3 linked regions of the Coturnix japonica genome follow. The protein of the gene in region 2 purifies or fractionates together with the protein of the main gene of each other region. This does not show direct contact. Links are inferred from orthologs where the notes say so. Each region holds a gene or a part of one and is shown on either strand. Other genes may lie near its edges.

Region 1 (6,069 bases), on a different chromosome or scaffold from region 2:
TTGGATACAGGGACTTATCATGCTTTAAACTCATGAATTTGCAGTTCTTTCAATCGGTGACTTCATCTGACCTTAAGGCAAACACTCATCATAATTCAAGAGTATTTCTGATGAGAATCAATCTTGATAAATAGTGACCTAAATGGCAGTTCTAGGACTGCAGAGGATGCAATTAGGAAAATATGACCTTTCATGTGTCCCCCTTTTAAGCATCAGATATGATATAATGCTCAGTGTCAGGAATTGCTACGTTTTCCAGTAGTGAGATGAATAACACACATCTCAAAGGCCTCTCAAACTAAGCACTGTTATCTGCAAATACCCTTTTGTTACATAGCATCTTACTTTTTGAGTAGCTGTTACCAACTGTATGCCCTTGCATACAAAACAATGTCCCAGCTCCTCCTGGCCTCCCCCCCCCCAAGTATATCCTAAGGTCATACTACTATACTACTTTTATTACAATCAGTTTGATTTGGCTTGCAAGGCCTTAATCTCCAAAACATTGGCATCCTTTCTGGATTACCACAGTTAAATTGCACCAGCAATACCACAGGAACAAAGGTGGAACGTACTCTGGAAAGCTATGCTGAAGATGAAGCCTTTAATGCTTAAAAGCTCTGCAGAGTTCCTCATTTAGATACTTTCACCCCATCTGCTGAAAATGGTTTTGAAAACATAAAGCCATGCTTAAAGTCAATTTCATTCCCGTTATGTAACGTTACTTGGCCTAGTTGAGCATCCTTAATCTGTGCAGCTGAACTAGTTTTATCGTTAAGCCAATAAGGGCTGCAGCCATTACGTATCTCAGGGCTGAAGAACCACAGCAGCACCGGTTTAGGAGCCCATTAAGCAAAGTCTCCTTCCTGAATGAAAGACCTTCCATTGTACTTCACCCATTGTGAGAAATATTTGTCTGATCTATTCTTAAAACCTCTAAGAAAAGCCTCCATGTTGCCTAGTCATCTGCCTGCTACTTTAGCTTATGGCTCCTCACCCTACTACCCCCAATGGACATGAGAGAACAAATCGTCCCTTCCCTCATGGCAGCATCCTTTTATCTATTTGAAGACTTACGTCTGTGGCTCTGTTCCCTCCAGCTCTGTAACAGTCATGTGTTCAAAGACTGAGCATTATTTTTACCCTTTTTCCTCTAAATCACACACATTTTGCTCACATGGAGCCCAGCACTGGACACACCGTTTTAGCACAGCTCAGCATGGCAGGATGCCTGTATCCTATTAGCACTATACAGACCTGCATGGCATTCACTGCTCTAACAGCAGGACATTGCTATTCAGCTTGCAGCCCACAGCAGCTCCTCCATCCCTTCCTATAACACACAGCTGCCTTTCCTAACACCAATACAACCAGCCCCACAGTTATAAGCACACAGTACTACCTGATGCTTTTTCCCATTGAGTTCCCCTCTTTGCATTCTAGCCCTCTGACAGTGCATTAATACAAGCTCAGACTTGACCCCATCTCCAAACACAGCAATTACAGGGGCTGTTTCATTATAAATGAATAATGGACCGAAGGTATTTCCCCAGACAAGCGCTGACACCAAGTACATTGTACCCCAACCAGCTCTACCATGCTGGACACAGCTTGCCTTGCTCCCTCCATCCACCGAGGCACAGCATGCCCCCCTCACACAGCCATAGAGCCCTCTTACACCTATAGACCCCCCTCACACAGCCATAGACCCCTCTTACACCTATAGACCCCCTTCACACAGCCATAGACCCCTCTTACACCTATAGACCCCCCCCTCACACAGCCATAGAGCCCTCTCACACCTATAGACCCCCCTCACAAGCCAGCACAAAGACGCCTCTTTACACTCTTACTATAACTTCCCCTCTCAGCACCTATAGGAGCCCCTCAACACAGCTATAGACCCCTCAACAACAGCCCATAGACCTCTACACCTATAGACCCCCTCACACAGCCATAGAGCCCTCTTACACCTATAGACCCCCTCACACACAACGTGAAGCCCCCCCCATCTGTGCCACATCCCCACACTGCGCATGCGCCCCCAACCCGCCCGCCGCCTTTGTGTGCGGCACATTCCTCCCTCCCCCCCGCGCATGCGCACAACGCCTTCCCGTCACGCCCCGACACCCCCCTCCCCGTCAGCATGGCGCATGCGCATCCCGCGGGGTTGGCCGGCGGGCGGCGCGCATGCGCAGTGCGCGTTTCCTGGCTCCCTTGTCAGTGCCGGGCCGCCCCCCTTTCCCACCCCTCCCCTCGGCCGCCGCCGCCGCCCGGAGCGGAGTCGCGTTGACTGCCCAGAGTCCGCGAGCCCCGCTCCGCCCCCGCAGCCTCAGGTGAGTCCCGGCCCCGACCGAACGGCTGGCCGCCCTCAGGCCCAGCTGCTGAGGGGGCGGCGGCTCTGCAGCACTCAGCCGCGGCCTGCCCGCCGTGCGGGGCCCGTACCCGGCCCTGTGCTCATAGAGGGGCGGGTGGGCCGGGAGAGGGGGCGGCGGGGCAGCTCCGTCCTTGTCCGCACCGCACAGCGGCCTCAGCACCGGGCACCTGTGTGGGACGGCACCGCCCGGCTGAGTGCGGCCACCGCCCCGACGGGAACGGGCCGATATGACAGCGGGGGGAGGCAGCGATCAGTCACAGGCAGCTCTGGAAATAGGCAGAGATTTACAGCAGCTCTCACACTCACACTGTCTGTAATTTGGAAGCATCTCCTCGCTGTCTCCTTACCTCGTGCTTCTCGAGAGGTGACAGCAGCTCAGTCCTGGGCTTCTCAGGGCTGAGTTTCTGAGGGGCTGTGTGGGTGAGCAGGAGGAATTTTGGCACCCTGCCCTTAAAAGAAAATATTGAAACAAGGACAATTAGTTTGCATTTGAAAGGAAGCTCTATCTACCTAACAAAGTTACCTTGACAGTGCCTTTCCTATGTTAAATCCTGAGCTTGGCAGACAGGAGAACACTGTGGGGTTTATGCTGTATTGGTTACATCAAGTCATTCAGCCACTGATAAGAAATAAATCTTCATAAGATCTTACAAACAGTATTTATCTCCCCAAAGGAAATAATATTGCAACGATCAGATGGCAAATATTTGTGCTCTTTGAGATTGTCATCACTGTTCTTTCTTAATGAACATTACCTGCTTGCTGTGAGTTGTGGTGCTTGAGAAGGATGAGGATGCATCATGTCCCTTGTCCAGCTGTAAGCTTTGGGAACAGCCTGTAGGTTAGTGAGCAAAACAATCTCTGAACTAGGAGCTGTTAGGATGGGACAGCAGTGTTTGTACAGGGAGCCAATCTGTGCAGAAAGCACGAGGACTGCATTAGAAATAGCTGCATTCTTCAGGCAGCAGAGATTGGATAGTTTTACTTTGTATTTGGAAAGAATCAAAAAGGCTGAGCATTCCCTGTTGGTAGAAGAGCTCGTCAGCTTTTCTTGTATATGGAAATGCACTGCTACTGAATTGCTGGCATGTATTAAAGCAAGACTGGGGAAAAAGCAATTTGCTGTGATGTTTTGCTTATGTTAATGCATGGAATCTCACACCATAGCTGCCCAAGGTCAGAGGTAACTTGGATCATGGCAGTTCTCTCACATTAATAAAAATAAGTAATTATTCTTCTGAGGGCTGTACTCAAATAGCAGCTTTATGTGATCTTTAGCATATGATTATTAGAAGAAAATTAGAACAGTTACAATTATGAACTGGACTTAAAATGAAGTTCAGCTAAATGAGCTTTGAGTACATTTAATGACACTGCAGATCATGGCTTTCATATATAATATAGATTACTATATATATATATATATGAACAGTGCTGCATCATCTCTACTCAGGACTTTAGGCATATTTCTTAAAGCAGGGGAGTGCTCAGCTCTGTAAGGGGTTACTCATCTCTCATTCACTCCTGAGTTTCTGTGGGACTGCCGTTCATTTCCTGTTTGCTTCCAAATTCCTACCTTGTCCTGAAGTCTCCACCCTCTGCTAACATGGCCATACTTGGCTATGTTGTAATTTCAGGCTGCGATGGGTGTGGATGTCTTGGAGTGACATCACAGAGATGGTGCTTTTTAGATGTATGCAGTGGGGCAGACCGACAACGTGCCATCAGCCATGGATAAATTGCTACAAAAGTTTGTTTAATATGTGAAAGGAGGAAGAAATGGACAAATCCAAGTTGTGTGTGTTGAGCTGTGCACATTGCAGCTGTTGCAGGTGACCTTGAGTTGTTACAGTGCTACCTTCCATCCGTTTATGCTGTCCTTGATTAACACAGGACACAGAAATAAGATCTGATATATTAAACAGCTTCGCAGTCACCTGTTTGCACTGTCTCTTTCATAAGAGAAAAGAAAAAACTGGGTGTCTCACTTTGTATGAAACAAAGCATTCACAAACCCAAAGAATTCAATTTGATCTTTTACTGTTTGAGTCTCATAAGGATGGAAGCCATAAAGCAATTAATTGTTAGGATTAATTTGAAGGAATTAGTAATTAATTACTGATGTTAGTAGTTTTTCCCTGGGATACACATAAGTAGTTTTATCAAGCAACACATCAGCAGATTACAGTCACATCTGAGCACATCAGCTTAACCTCCTGATGGATGGAAAAGAAAAAGGCTTCATTGAGGCTCACAGCACTACAATACACACCAGAATGTCAAATCAGTTCACTGAGACATCACTGAATTTCTTATTTAAGTATTCTAATTCCCCAGTTAAATTCTTAGGTGTGTTAATTTCATAAGAACCTGTTTCCTCTTATGAGGATACAGGAAGAAACAAGTGCATACACCTTTTAGAGCAATTCATTGACCTACTAAAGATCTTGGGGCACACAGGGAAAGGTCTTAATTACAATGACACATGCACAGTAGATAGATCATCATAGTGGACTGAAGCAGCCTTTGTAGATGTTCAAGACCGATTTGTTTTTATAACTGTTCAACTTTGAAGTGCTTTGTTGTCATTTTTACATCTTTACGTTTTTTTTCCCCCCCCCCAACTTTTACAACATAGGAATATCTTTAACTCGGAATGTCTCTACATCAGTTCTTATTGGAGCCAATCACCTGCCATGCATGGAACAGAGACCGTACTCGTAAGTAACCTTTTCATTTACTTTTTCAACCGCTCTTTTCTCTGTGCTGTCAATCGGATCATCTTGAAACCTTCTGGACCACATTCAAGAAAGATGTGGTCAAATACATAACGCTGCACTTATAACCCAAAAAGCACATTACATTCCTAAATCTGGTTTTGATTTTTAGACCCTCTTTTGAAACTTTGACATGTGAGCAAACCCAGTCTTAGTGGAGCTCCAGAAAGTCTTGCCTTGGTCTTTACTTCATGAGAACATGACTTATCTCATACTCTTTAACCTCTTATTTCCCAGCCCCAAACCCAGCCTTTTCTTTTTATATATAGTCTTCTACTGAAGAAGGATAGTTATATTCTAAATGCACTGTCTTTCTGTTCAGTGTACTCACAATTGTGTTACAACCATCATTATTTGATATTATCCAGCAGGGATGTTAGCCCATCATTTACAAGGCCTATGTACTCTTAACTTTCAGAGCATTACAAGTTTTAGACTGAGAAGTTTTCCCCAAGTAAAAAGATATTAAAAAGAGCTTTCTGTACTAATGGACTGTTTCTTTTCTTCTACAAGAAATTGCCATTAGTCCTAATAATCATGAAGTTCACATCTACAAGAAGAATGGGAGCCAGTGGGTAAAAGCTCATGAGCTAAAGGAACACAATGGACACATTACAGGTAAGCAAAGAGCACACTGTGCCAGACAGCAATTTCCCTGCACCCTTCTTTCTCTAGCCAAGCATCTGAACAGGAAATCTGCAATAAATAGATCTCCTTGTATGTTATAATTCCCACTTTATGGAGAACTTTGTTGCATTTTCCTGGCCTGCATGCAGTAGGCTGTTGGGTCGTGGCTTCTGTCTGCATCTGCAACAAATAGCCTGTTTCAGGGACTCATTTCACCAAGTTTGTATTGGTACATTTCTCCTTTCTCTTTGCTACAGTACACTGGCTATAGGATCTTAAGTGTTTTAT
Region 2 (6,284 bases):
CTGAAAGTCTGAACTCAGGTCTCCAGGCTGAACAGCCCCAGCTCTCTCAGCCTGTCCTCACAGGCAGGGTGTTCTGTTCCATCCTTTGAATCATTTCTGCATCTCTCCTTTGATGTACTCCAACAGGTCTATGGCTCTCCTGTACTGAGGACTCCACACTTGGACACAGTACTCCAGGTGAGGCCTCACCAGCACAGAGTGGAATGTATAGCCACAATAGTTTCCTGGTTCTCCATGGTCTTGTCTCTATGCTACTTGACTGTGGACAGATATTTTCTTCTGGATCCAGCTGGAACAGCTCAAAATATTACAATGATTGATCCAATCCCATCCCTTCCCCTCTGCTAACAAAGCAATTTGAATGCTCCCTAACCCTCTTCAGGCATAATTGACTAGATTAGTGCACAGCACCTACTTAAACTGTTTGAACTATCTCAGCTGATCCTGCTTGAAGTGGGTTAGGAAGCACTACAGCAAACAGCTGGGAGAGCCAGGGGGTAGTAATCAATGCCCCAGGGATGGCAATAAACATCTTGAGAAGAAAAAGGGCAGAGCACAAATGTTTCAAACCTCTGCAGCTGTTTGCAAATTGAATTTCTACATGCAGCCTGCAGGCTACGTGTGAACTATCACAGTATCTCCTCTTCCAGATGAAGCTTTCTTCTCAGCCATCGCAGCTGGGGGGTGGGGGTGGAAAGGGAACTTGAGAATGGTAGGAAATATTACAGAAATGTGCCTATGTAGCATATGAGCGTGTATTCTCTAAACATAGCATATTGTGCGACAGCATGTGAGAGGGGGGATTTTGGCCAAGGATGTCAAAGAATTCTTCTTCTTTCTTTTTTTTTTTCTCCTTTCCTGTTGGATCCCAATGCAGTGCCTTTAATGCATCATTCAGACTTGACTGCAGAAGAAGCAGATGATTTCCATCCACCTTGAATCCCCAATCCTTGGGTGCACTTATTAGAGCCTGCCTGTTAAGCTGTCTCAGCACACTGATAAGGGAGCCTTTCCAACACACAAACTGGGCTGGCTTCCACCATGCTCTGTTATCTTCCAAAATTTCTATGGGGACCAGTGTGAGCAAATATGTCGAGTGAATGAGCTCGGTGTGGGGTAAATGGCTGAATAAACCCCACAGGCATCCGCAACACTCTACAGTTATTGCACCAAAGATGGCATTTCTGAGGACCAGGGGATATATTCTCATTGTTTCATATAAAGCCTGTTTCTGTGTGAGCAACACAGCAGTGCTCGACTGGGAGGGGCTGATAAAAAGCAACACCCCCATGGTTAATAAATGTATCCCTGTGGTTAACACAGGGGTCAAAGCATCTGCAAGGCCTATTTCTGGTGCTGTTACCATGCACTCATAGCATGACCACGGCTGAGTCACGTATGAGGAATCATAATCGTATATGTAAATAGGATGTCAACAACTTTGCAGGTGATGTTTGTTGCAGCTTATTATTTTTGTTTTCTCAAATGCTTTGAGAGTTGGGTATTAATTCAGTGTATTCTGGGTCTGCTTGTAGCCAGCTCAGGGGATATGCAGATATGCAGGCTGTGCTGCACCCACCTGCACCCAGAGGAACACAATTAGTATTTTCATGATTGAATGGTTAAATGCTGGCGGGGCAAACCCCACCACCACTCAGACGTGACCTGTGAGGTGAGCCTTGCTCTGAGGGACACCAGCATCTGCAGTGTTTGCTGGGGTGTGGTGAACTCTTTCTCCTTCTCTTAACTCTGCTGTGTCCTTTGTGGCCATGGGAGGCTTAAAAGAAGTTTTCCTTCTCTTACTCTGCTGTGTCCTTTGCGAGGTTTAAAAGAAGTTTTTAACCCAATAAATGTATATTTGGTCATTGTGTACTCGCTCAGTGACGGTTACCCCTCTGAGGGTTGTGATCAATGGTGCACAATCAACACAAGGAAGAACTCCACTGTCAGAGGGCAGAGCATTGGAACAGGCTGCACAGAGAGGTTATGGGGTCTCCTTCTCTGGAGATATCCAAGGATATCTCTGGAGATATTCCTGCTCAGACTGCAAGATCTCCAGAGATCCCTTTGAATCCCTACTATTCTGTGATGCCCCAAACAACGCTACAACACTGCTGACTTAAACACCGTTCAGCAACTTCATTCACTGTGTTCTGAAGCCCATGACAAGGGGATGAGGTGAGGAGAAAGTCCCTCCCTCAGCCATCCTCGCGGGCACACCGCCCCCTCCTAAGATGGCCGCCAAGAGCCCAAGGCGGCCGGTCACGTCACGTAGTGCCGGTGGGCGGCGCATGCGCCTTGTAGGCAGCGCTGCCAGGCGGCTGCATGGTGCCCGCCGCCCCTCCGGCTCCCATGCAGTGAGGCCGGGCCGGGGGGGAGCCGGCTGCGGGCTGTGTGCGGTGTAGGGCCGGCTCCCCAGCATGGCGAGCTACCTGCCGCCCTGCGTGATAGACGGAGGCACCGGGTGAGTGTGGGGAGCGGGGGGGGACCGGCGGTCACAGCCTTTTTGGCGACGTGTGTGTGACGGGGGGGGGGGGGGGGGTGCTGTGTCCCAACGAGCCCGTTTCTCCTCTTTTCCGTTCTTTGACTTTACAACGATCCAAGGACTTAAATGCTAAACGTGGGAATGACATTTGGAACGTCCGTGAGGAGAAAGATCTATACTTACCCTGCCTGGGCAAGTAATGTACTGTAACTTATTCTATAACCTATGCAGTGTTTAGCCAAACCACGAGTTTTGTAACTTGTCATTGTGAGGAGTGAATCTGAACTGCAGAGGCTGTGCTGGGCGTTTGGCTTTGCAGAGGGATAGATCTTAACTACCTGTCTGTGTCTAGTGAGGACCGCCAGCTTCTGATGGGTCTGTTGGTGCTGCTGTTGTGCCTCAGGAGTGGGAGGTGACCGAGGGAGCTGTGATGGAGATGCTGGAGATGCACTGCACTCTTTTCTTTGGCCCTGCAGTGATCGAAAGCTCTCAGGAAGAGAAAAGACAGTGGTACATGAGTTCAGCTGGTAACTTCGCATGTCAGGCTGTGCTTTAGGGTCAGCAATTTCATTTACTGATGGCAAGAATAGCCCTTCCTTCTGCAGGGAATTGGTTGCACTGTTTTGGTTCAGGTGATGCCTGGAAATTTCTCTTTAAAATTTCCAAATTTTAAGCTATTGTATGAAAACCAAAAGGAAAAGAAAGATAACTTAAAAAAGAAGTGATAGGTAACCAGAGCAACCCATTTAGCTGATGGGTTCACCACCTTCTGTAAAAGGATTTTGTATTTTGAAGTTTATTAAGCTGTGACAAAACTTTCACAAGTCTCTCGTGCTGTCTCTGCTTATATGACCTGAAATCAGTTCAGTCTCCTCAGTGGAGAATACTGGAGTCCACAGCTGAAAGCTCTGGGAGTAGAACAGAGAATGGGTTCCATCTTGTATGTAATTCTGCCTGTCTGATATTCCATGGTAATTTCCCATGTATAAATCCCAAAGAGATTTTAAGTATCTGTTCTGCAAGGAACTTTGGTGTTTCAGGAATGTTACTTCACAGAATTGAAGAGCTTTTCTTGGGGAAAGGGGAACTCTAGGTAAGTCCTTTAGAAAAGATATGCTATGAACTGCCAAATCCAGAACGTGCACAAAATATGTCTGTCTGTCCTTTGTAGGAGCTGGAATCTGTGTGTATACAGGTATAGTACCTTGTTTCAGAAAGGGTTCAGACAGCCCACAAGTGGACTTGTTATTTCCATGCCTCCAAGTGATCTTAATAGGTGTGAGACCTATTCGAAAGGGCTGACAATAGCAGGACACGGGGAAATGGTTTTAAGTTGAAAGAGGGAAGATTTAGGTTGGATGTTAGGGGAAAGTTCTTCTCTAGGAGAGTGGTTATGCTCTGGAACAGGCTGCCCAGGGAGGTTGTGGATGCCCCGTCCTTGGAGGTGTTCAAGACCAGGTTGGACGGGGCCCTGGGCAACCTGATCTAGTAAAGGTGTATGTTTGGTGGCCCTGCCAGGCAGGCGGGTTGGAACTACATGATCCTTGAGGTCCCTTCCAACCCGGGTCATTCTGTGATTCTGTGAGACAATGTGGTGTCTCTGCTGATGGGACTTTATCTGAAGTAAATCATCTTGCAGAACAAGAAGACGTAAGATTCTGCTCCAAGCAGCCAGAATTAGCTTGACTCACTGATCCAGTCTCTGGAATTTTCCTCTGTGTGGGTTGAAAACCTTCTTATTGTTAGAATGAATCTACTTTGCGTTGCTGGCTTGGAACAATTCATTCAAATGATTCATGTAAAGGCTTTCAGCTGAAAAACTTGGAAGAGCATTACGGAAACAGCAAGGTGTGTGCAGATGCACTGTGGTATATTTTGTGCATGAGAAGAAAAATGCATTTGCAAATGGAACATCCCACTCTGGTTTTGATGCACTACGTCTTTGTTTTCTCTGAGTGAGGTTTTCCTGGTGATCAGCTTATGTGTTGCTGTCAGTCCTCATGTGCAGAAGGACATGCTATTTTTAGGGCCTTCGCAGTACCAGGCCTCTCTGGTGTTGCTGTTCCAAGAGGCTTTAAACTTGGTGGCTGGTTTTATTAATTGGCATTTAGCTGTGGGACATCAGCACTCCACTAAGTGGGTGGGCGGAACGGAGGTGGCTTAAAATACTGCTCTTCATCTTCAGGCATCGAGGAATGCTTCTATTTTTAGGTGTATTTTATTCAAGTGATTTTTATTTTAGTAAGGAAAGCCGACTTTGGCCAAGCGTTACTGATCAGCTTATAAGTAAATACTTGATTTCTGGGTGAAGTGAGCTCTACTTGTCTTAAAGCTTGAAACTTGAGGGGTTGTTGTTGCTTTTGCCATTAAAGTTGGCCGGAACCTTGCAATGCTTTTTCTTATTATTGTATTTCTGATGTGAAATGAGTTGTTCCGTGCAAGTATTATTATCTCTGCTCTTTACACGTGAGACGTGCACAGCTACGTTTCTAATTGCTGTTCTGGGTGTAAGGAGGATGGGTTAATGAGCTGTTATTTATAATCACAGGCTTCAGTCCTGGTCCTACCAGTCTCTCCCAAAGCTATGGCTCTAATTTGCAGTTTATTAATGTAGAGGTTGGTGATGCTTCTCTATACATTGTGCAGACATGGCTTTTCCTATTATTTTCTACTGCATTCTTTCTTCATTCCTATTCCTTCCTCACATCCTCCTTCATTCCTAAAGTGCATCTCCACATCTTTATAAGGACTTCGCGTTTGGAGTTTCTCAGGGATATCTGTAATAATGATACTGCTCTTCCTTAAGGCCTTTTGGTGTTCTCAGTAGTTCTGTCTCTTCAGAGCTCGTTTGTGGATCTGACACGTTGCTTCTTGGTTTCCATCTTTAAAACAATAAAACTAAAGAAATTCGGAAATGTTCAAACTTAGAACTGTGGGGCTACGTAACAGTTTGGGTTAGAAGGCACCTTAAAGCTTATCCAGTTCCAGCCCCTTGGCATTAGCAAGGACAACTCTCCCTTAGGCCCACCCAGCCCTGAGCACATCCAAGGATGGGGCAGGGATGCTCTATGGGCAGCTATGCCATGATCTCTCTGCCCTCATCGTGAAGAGTTTATCCTACTGTCTAATCTAAAACTACCCCCATTCAGGTTAAAATCATTCCCCCTTGTCCTATCCTTATGCTCCATCTACTGGAACACGTTCCTACTGATCTTTAATGCCGTCTTCAATATGGTATGTTTTGTAGAGTTTCCAGTAGGTTCCTATCTCGCTGGCAATAAATCTGCTACTTTTAATGAAATTGGAATACTGATTATCTGCACGTTCCCTAAAGCCTTCTCTGTAATTTACAGAACACGAGATGTTGCATTACCATTAGTCTTCTAGGCTGTAGCCCAGGAGAAAGAAACAAATGTGTTTTCAGATCCTTAAATATTCATTGGAAAAGGAGCTGGAGACCAGGTAACCTGCCTAACTATTTACATCCAGACCTTCAAGGTTGATGAATATTCAAGTGCTTTGTATGAAGGCAAACAATGTCTGTAGCAGGTCCTGAAAGTGGGTCACCCAACCACTCTAATGTACTGCCCTGGATGATGGAGTGCCCAGGAGCAGAGAAGTTCAGGCAATGATAAAATCAGTCAGTAAGATACCAAACGATCAGCTTCAGATAGTGACAAATCAAATCAGTAAGACACTGAGCTATCAGCTTTTGGTGCCTTTGTAAGTTATCCTAGCAGCGGGATCTGATTCCAGCTTGAGTGGTAAGGTAACGCCACGATAGACTGATACCCCAAAT
Region 3 (6,271 bases), on a different chromosome or scaffold from region 2:
TGTCAGCTCTACCAAAAGGAAGCAGGGCCCAGGCTCCATGCAGCCAGAACCTGAGCACTGAGCTCAGTTTGAAGACAAAGTTTGGAAATGAGTGCTCATGTAGAGGTAGACACTTAATGTAGAAATGCTATTGAGGGCTTAATTTTGGGTGCCAGAAATCAACAATTGACTTAACTTGTATGATCCAAGAACTTTATTGATGCAGCAGGCACTTTACAATGAAACCAACCCCAAAGTCCAACCGTCCTCTGACCATATATATACATACATATACAAAATCATCTTTCTAATAAACACTTATCCCATTCATAAACTGTCAGAATCTTGCAACTGTGAAGACCATAGCTCCCTCTTAAATAAGTAGCACAGACAGGATCTTGGATCACCACGCTTTGATAAAGCAGCATCTGAAAATACCTGCTCACTTTCAGTAGTAGGAGGCAGGAGTTTGCCTTCTCTCTGCCTTAAAAGAAGCAAGCAGGAGAATGTCTTGGCTCCTGTACGTGATAGTCAGAATATACAGGAATACCTTTACTCTTTTCCCACCTTTAATGTTAAAAGCAGTCCAAGAGGAGGTTTCCATAGTATTTCAGTAGATTGGAATCTCTAATCAAGATGGACCAGCATCACTTCAGCTACTTCCTTCTTCTGGGTCCAAAACTGATGGTTGTCTTGCTTCGAGTTAATAGTCTTTAAACAGTCTTTCTTGCTGTAAGAACTCTTACTATGGAACCTAGTCCACCTGCTGCTAATGCCTGTGGGGTGGGAGAAGGAGACAAGATCAGTTCTACAGTCACACACGGCTTACGATGAAACCTTCATTGTTCTTAGCAGCCTGCAGGGCTGGCAGTGGTTCTGCTGGTACAACTTGTGTGTTCCGTCACACAAAGCGCACGCTGTATTTGTTAACTCCTAAGCAATGTTTTATGCTAATTGCTACAACCAGAGCATCAGTTCTCAAGTTGTTCCACCCCTCTGTACCTGTGCAGGTACCTTCTGCACTGCTAAAACCTTCAGCTTCCTGCAGTAACAAGTTCTACATTCACACACTTATTCCTTTGCCACATTTCAGCTCCTTGCCTGTTCCTGTCTTGGGCCATGAACTCGGGAGCTCTATGCCCCCTGTCCTCTCTGAACGTACAGATGAGCTCCTTCTTTGACCCAGGTTTTTGCAGTACATACACAGCGCTACTCTCTAAACATGCTATAAATCTAAGAAGCAAGGAAATGAAGGGTGGACAAAACAGCTCATTGTAACACATCCCACCACATCTGAAGGCTAAAGTACACAAAACCTTATGAACTGACTTGCATCTAGTGAAGGACACCGATGATGCAGAATACCTTACACTCCTGCTCCTGAATGGGGAAAGGAGGAAGGGCTTAGTCTGGTTTCATTTGCATCCTTAATAAAAATGAAACATTCTTCTAAAGTCTAGGAGGAGATGCATGTAAGTGAGGGCCGCAGAGGAGCTGCTCAGATTAGACCTGACGGATGCAGAAATGGCATCAGGCCCTTCCAGGGGCCAGGCAGGTGCTGCTGAGCTGCTGCCCACAGTCAGAGTGAGCTGCACGTCCTGCCTGCACTGCTGGAAAGCAGAACACAAAGCTCTAAGCAGCTCCCTGCACACTGCACAACTGCAGCTTTCCTTTGAAAACAAAGGGGAAGAGATGCTTGCACGTGTCTACGTGTTCTGAGCAGTGACTTCTTTCCAGTCAGGGCAGTCTTGTGTAATGTTACGTACTGGGAGTATCAACCTACGGTGACCCAAAAAGAGCCTCCAGTAGGAAGAACAACACAAAATGTCAAGCACAAACATGTTCCTTCCTGTGCAATTTCCTCCCCCTCCTGCCTATCGATATTCTGCAAGGCTGGGGACAGCTGCCAGGAGCTGGAGTCACCATTGCACAACTTGTTTTAACTCATCACAAGGAAGCACGCCCTGTGCAAATGACCGGCCAGCAGCCAGCTGTGAGCACAGCACATACAGCCCCCCTCGCTGCGACCCTGCCACAGAAACGCCACTAAGTGCCACTGAGGCATCAAAGCCTTTACTGTGCAAACTGAGCAGGTTTGCTATAACTGGTCAGCTCGGATGTACTTCAGCACAGCGTTTCACTGACAAAAAGCATCACATCTGAGCCATCCTGGGCACCCCATGAGCCAAAGGCACCTTCAATCAATCAATCAATCAATCTCACCTCCACTCCCAGCTGCTGCTCCTTGTGGGGGAAACCACCACCAGACACAAGTCATAAACCTTCCTGCAGCTGACGCTGCTCTGCCACACCCACCCCTCCCATCCCTCCAGGCTGAGGAGAGCTCTGAAGTACCACAGAAACTCCATACGCCCAACACCAAGAGGCCAAGAACAAAAGGCAGCACCGAGCTCTGCTCCTCAGGGAGGATCCCCCTCATCGCACACCTCCCCATCCAGGAGGTCCTGAAAGCACCGACAGTGACAACAGAGCCCAGAGCAAACACTCACCTTTTCATGCCATTGGAGTAATATTGCACTGCTATTTTCTGTCGGCTTTTCAAATCCTTTATAAATATACTTCATTAACAAGTCAATCCCGTTTCTGTCTAAGGAGTTCACCGCTTGTTCAATTTCACTGCTCTTAAAAGACGTGAGGACTCTGAGCATGGTGCCCTGCGCCTGCTCCTGCACAGGAAGGAAAACGGCATTAGGATCAGCAAAGCTGGATGTGACCCCAAGTGCAGCAAAGCACTCGGAGCAGCGGCTGCGCTGATGGTGTGAAGATGCAGCAGCCAAACAGGAGGAAGTTTTACACTTTAAGTTTCAGTAGTGAGAAGGAAGAAGAGCAGAGAGCTTTAAAACTGGACTTGTTGGTGTTCCCACCTGGGGGGAACCACCTGAACTGCACTGCAGAACAAACCTACAGCCCGAGAACAACGAACAACGTCCGGCTCCTGCAGCACAAGATCCCCTGGGCTGTGCTCTGTGCTCCCTCTCAGCCCCCGGCTGCTGCCGGCCGCGTTTCCCCACAGCACGGGCCGCTCCCCGGGCACACAGCAGCACCGGGCCGTCCTACAGCAGCACCGCGACACCCGCACACAAACCGCAGCGCCGTCCTTCAAGAGCAGACGGACGGGAGGTGCCATGGAGCACAAGGTCAGCGCCGGGGGCGCCGCTCGTTACCGGTCCCGGGGCCGCACTCACCTTCATGGCCGCGCTGCGCGTCTGTGCGGGGTTGTTCCTTAGGGCCGCGTGCAGCGCGCGCAGCGCTTCGCCTCTACGGCGAGAGTCAAGGAGCAACGGCGGCACCGGGAGCACCGGGACGGAGCGATAAGGGGAGGGGGCAGGGGAGGAGGGCGCTGCAAAGCGGGTACCTGAACTACGGCCACACAACGGCAGCGGGGAGGGACGGGACCGGGGGCAGCACGGAGGGCAGCACCAAGCAGCACCGAGCAGCACCGGGCAGCACCGGGCAGCACCGAGCGGCACCGGGCGATACCGGGCAGCACCGGGCGATACCAGCCAGCACCGGGCAGTACCGGGCAGTACGGGGCAGTACCGAGCAGTACCGAGCAGTACCGGGCGATACCGGGCAGCACCGGGCAGTACCGAGCAGCCTCAGGCCGCGCTCCCGCCCCGCAAACCTTCCCGAGGCCCCGCGGGCAGCGCTCGGTGGCCGTGCCGCCATGAAGGATACTGCCTCAGCAGCGCCTCCACCTCGGGGCTCGCGTCGGGTTCGGCCGCCGCCGCCTCCTCGGGCTCCTCCACGAAGCGGTTCTCGTCGTACTGATCGATGTCCAGGCGGCGGAAGCGGGACGAGAGCGTGCTCCGCGCCATGCCGACGGAACCGGAACCGTCGGAACCGGAACCTCCCCCGCCGCTCCGCCGGAACCGGAAGCGCGGAGCCCGCCCCGCCCGGAGCAGGAAGGAGCGGAGCGGAGTGCGCCCCCCCGTCCCGTCCCGTCCCGTCCCGTCCCGTCCGGCGCCACGGAGCGACACGGCGCTGAAAAACCACAACGAGCCTTTAATTACAAAGTGGGCGGCGGCACCAACGGCCGCGGAACTTTGCTGCTGAAATCTCGTACATCTACGGGAGACGAACGGAGCCGCACGGAGCACCGGGAGCAGCCGAACGGCGCCGCTCAGCGGAGAAACGAACAACGAGCGGTTCGGATCCGCACAAATGGATCCGGGGGAGGGCGGGGAAACGGCTGCGCAGCGCAATGACAACGAACGGCGATAAGTTAAAGATAAAAGGCAGAGGCGGCATCTCAGCAGCAAAGTGCTCAATAAAAAGTATATTGTAGGGCGGGGGCGGCTCAGAGGAAGTAGGGGGTGGTTGTCCGGGGAGGGATCACCCGCTCTGAGTCTGGGACGGCGCGGAACAGCCTCGGTTCTCTCGTATTTACGTCCTGGAAGACCATGATGGAAGCGATGTTCCCGCAGCGATAGCAGTAATTGGGAGCTGACCACACCGTTACCAACTTCTCGTCAAACATGAATTTGTAGCCTTCGTGAACCAGCTGATGTGCTCTGCAGATGAGCTTCAGGTTGTTGATGTGGACAAACTGCAAAGAAAAGTGGCGTGTCACAGCTCTGTGCGTGGCCGCGCAGCAGCTGCTGCCCAGCAGAGCTCCTCAGCGCTGTGTGGGCCCAGCTCCGGGCTCAGCTCTGGGCTCTGCAGCGCTGACAGCACTGACCCACCCGGGAGGTTTTCCCAAGGCCTCTGAGAGGTGCAGGCTGTGCTAAGGACACTCCCTGTGTCCCTGTGCTCCCAGCACAGCTCTGCGGCCCCAGCCATGTGTGCCCAGCACCCCCACAGAGCTGGGACTGAGCTGATGGTGCTGGGAGCAAACCGCTCCTGTCAGAGCACAGAGGGCAACTTTGGGCTTTGAAACCTGAACAGTGAGAAACACTCCTGCCTGTGACAGCCGTGGTGCCTAGGCCTGCACTGCCCACGCCTTTCAATCCCTCCTGAATATGCTGCAGAGGAGCAGAGAACAACACACTGCATGAGGCAGGGATTCATCTTAGGGCCGGTTCAGAAGCCTGGGAAGTTCAGTGGGTCTGAGCCTCTTACTATGTTGCAAAGTAACAAAAATTAAGTCAAAGCTAGTATTTCTTCTTCCAAATCATTAGACAAGTATTCTACACAAAGCCTAGTAATTCTAGTTAGTCTCACTGCATTACACTTTTTAAACACAAGGTGTGCATTATCTCACTTGGCACTTTATGAGGGGAAAAGAGTATGTCACGAGAAAACCTCCCTCACCTCCACACCAACTCAGTCCCCTCACAAGGGAAGTTCCTTAATCCACTCGTCACTACAGTAAAGTCAAACACTTCATCTCACACCTGCAATTATGGGACGCAGCACAGGACGGCATCGTTACCTCATTTGTCACCTTAGCACCAAACAGCCAACCCGCCCCTCGCGGACTGATGGCCCACGTATCCACATCTTCTGGATCAGACCAAACCAGGTCACAGAAGGCGCCTTTATGAGGAATTTCTTGATTACGTTCAATGGTGCGAATCTGATCGAGTGTCTTGATGTCCGGAGACAATCCACCGTGCACACAGAGAATCTGCTCATCTATTAGCTGGAGAGAAAAAGGAACACAAAGAATGCTCAGTATTTCAACCAAACCAAGAACCTCTCCAGCACCACCCTCACCACCACCAATTCTTCAAGTTATATTTAGACAATCTACCTGTATCTTTTTTAAGGTGTTTACACTTACAGCTGCTATTGTGAGCATGTCAAAGACTTTGGTGCAGTATCTCCAAGCATTAGCATTTCCGTATTTGGTTTGGCACTCATCTGTTAAATAGAGAATTTTTTTCTTCTTAACAGACCAGAAGGAATTCAGGCAATATGATCAGAGTCAAACAGAACAGAACCTAAAAAGGCAGATGTAAACCAAAAAGCAAACAGACAAATAAAAAACAGCTGGGAGCAACCGGTGAGCACTGGCTGGAAAGCACTGCTCACTGCTTCTGTGGTCCACCAGCAGGGAGAGAACCTCAGTATCTACTGCTGTGTCTTCAGCAACAGACAGAGGAAAAAGCAACACGACAGACAGCACCTCAGCATCTTCCCACCACTGACTGCCTGGGAACAGCCCCCCTGCTCACCCAGCAGTGTTTATACTCTACATTTCATGCAAGAGAAGTGAGGCAGAAACAGTGAACCCATCAGGGCTAATTAGAGACCTTTTCACTACAAATAAGTGTTACAGTAGCTTTGTTTGTAGCTATACAAACACATCAATAAAACTGATGGACAA

The links. The genes of interacting proteins can lie anywhere in the genome.
Region 1: the proteins of ACTR3B (region 2) and ARPC1A purify together in Homo sapiens (affinity purification with mass spectrometry; 5 studies listed by BioGRID and IntAct, counting the BioPlex papers as one, with this or other methods). This does not show direct contact. The link is inferred for Coturnix japonica from reciprocal best matches to the Homo sapiens genes ACTR3B and ARPC1A.
Region 3: the proteins of ACTR3B (region 2) and ARPC5L purify together in Homo sapiens (affinity purification with mass spectrometry; 3 studies listed by BioGRID and IntAct, counting the BioPlex papers as one, with this or other methods). This does not show direct contact. The link is inferred for Coturnix japonica from reciprocal best matches to the Homo sapiens genes ACTR3B and ARPC5L.

What each region holds. Positions count from the first base shown.
Region 1 is NC_029529.1:4,391,687-4,397,755, forward strand, and holds the start of ARPC1A (actin-related protein 2/3 complex subunit 1A), read left to right. Parts: upstream 1-2,203; 5' UTR 2,204-2,336; intron 2,337-2,724; exon of another isoform or gene 2,725-2,826; intron 2,827-3,132; exon of another isoform or gene 3,133-4,045; intron 4,046-5,015; 5' UTR 5,016-5,033; coding exon 5,034-5,097; intron 5,098-5,667; coding exon 5,668-5,772; intron 5,773-6,069. UniProt on the Homo sapiens protein: Probably functions as a component of the Arp2/3 complex which is involved in regulation of actin polymerization and together with an activating nucleation-promoting factor (NPF) mediates the formation of branched actin networks.
Region 2 is NC_029517.1:6,048,978-6,055,261, forward strand, and holds the start of ACTR3B (actin-related protein 3B), read left to right. Parts: upstream 1-2,287; 5' UTR 2,288-2,420; coding exon 2,421-2,464; intron 2,465-6,284. UniProt on the Homo sapiens protein: Plays a role in the organization of the actin cytoskeleton.
Region 3 is NC_029532.1:8,068,224-8,074,494, forward strand, and holds ARPC5L (actin-related protein 2/3 complex subunit 5-like protein), read right to left. Parts: upstream 3,867-6,271; 5' UTR 3,819-3,866; coding exon 3,679-3,818; intron 3,259-3,678; coding exon 3,186-3,258; intron 2,667-3,185; coding exon 2,490-2,666; intron 756-2,489; coding exon 693-755; 3' UTR 171-692; downstream 1-170. Other genes in the region: PPP6C (serine/threonine-protein phosphatase 6 catalytic subunit), read right to left, coding at 4,301-4,549, 5,375-5,584, 5,726-5,805. UniProt on the Homo sapiens protein: May function as component of the Arp2/3 complex which is involved in regulation of actin polymerization and together with an activating nucleation-promoting factor (NPF) mediates the formation of branched actin networks.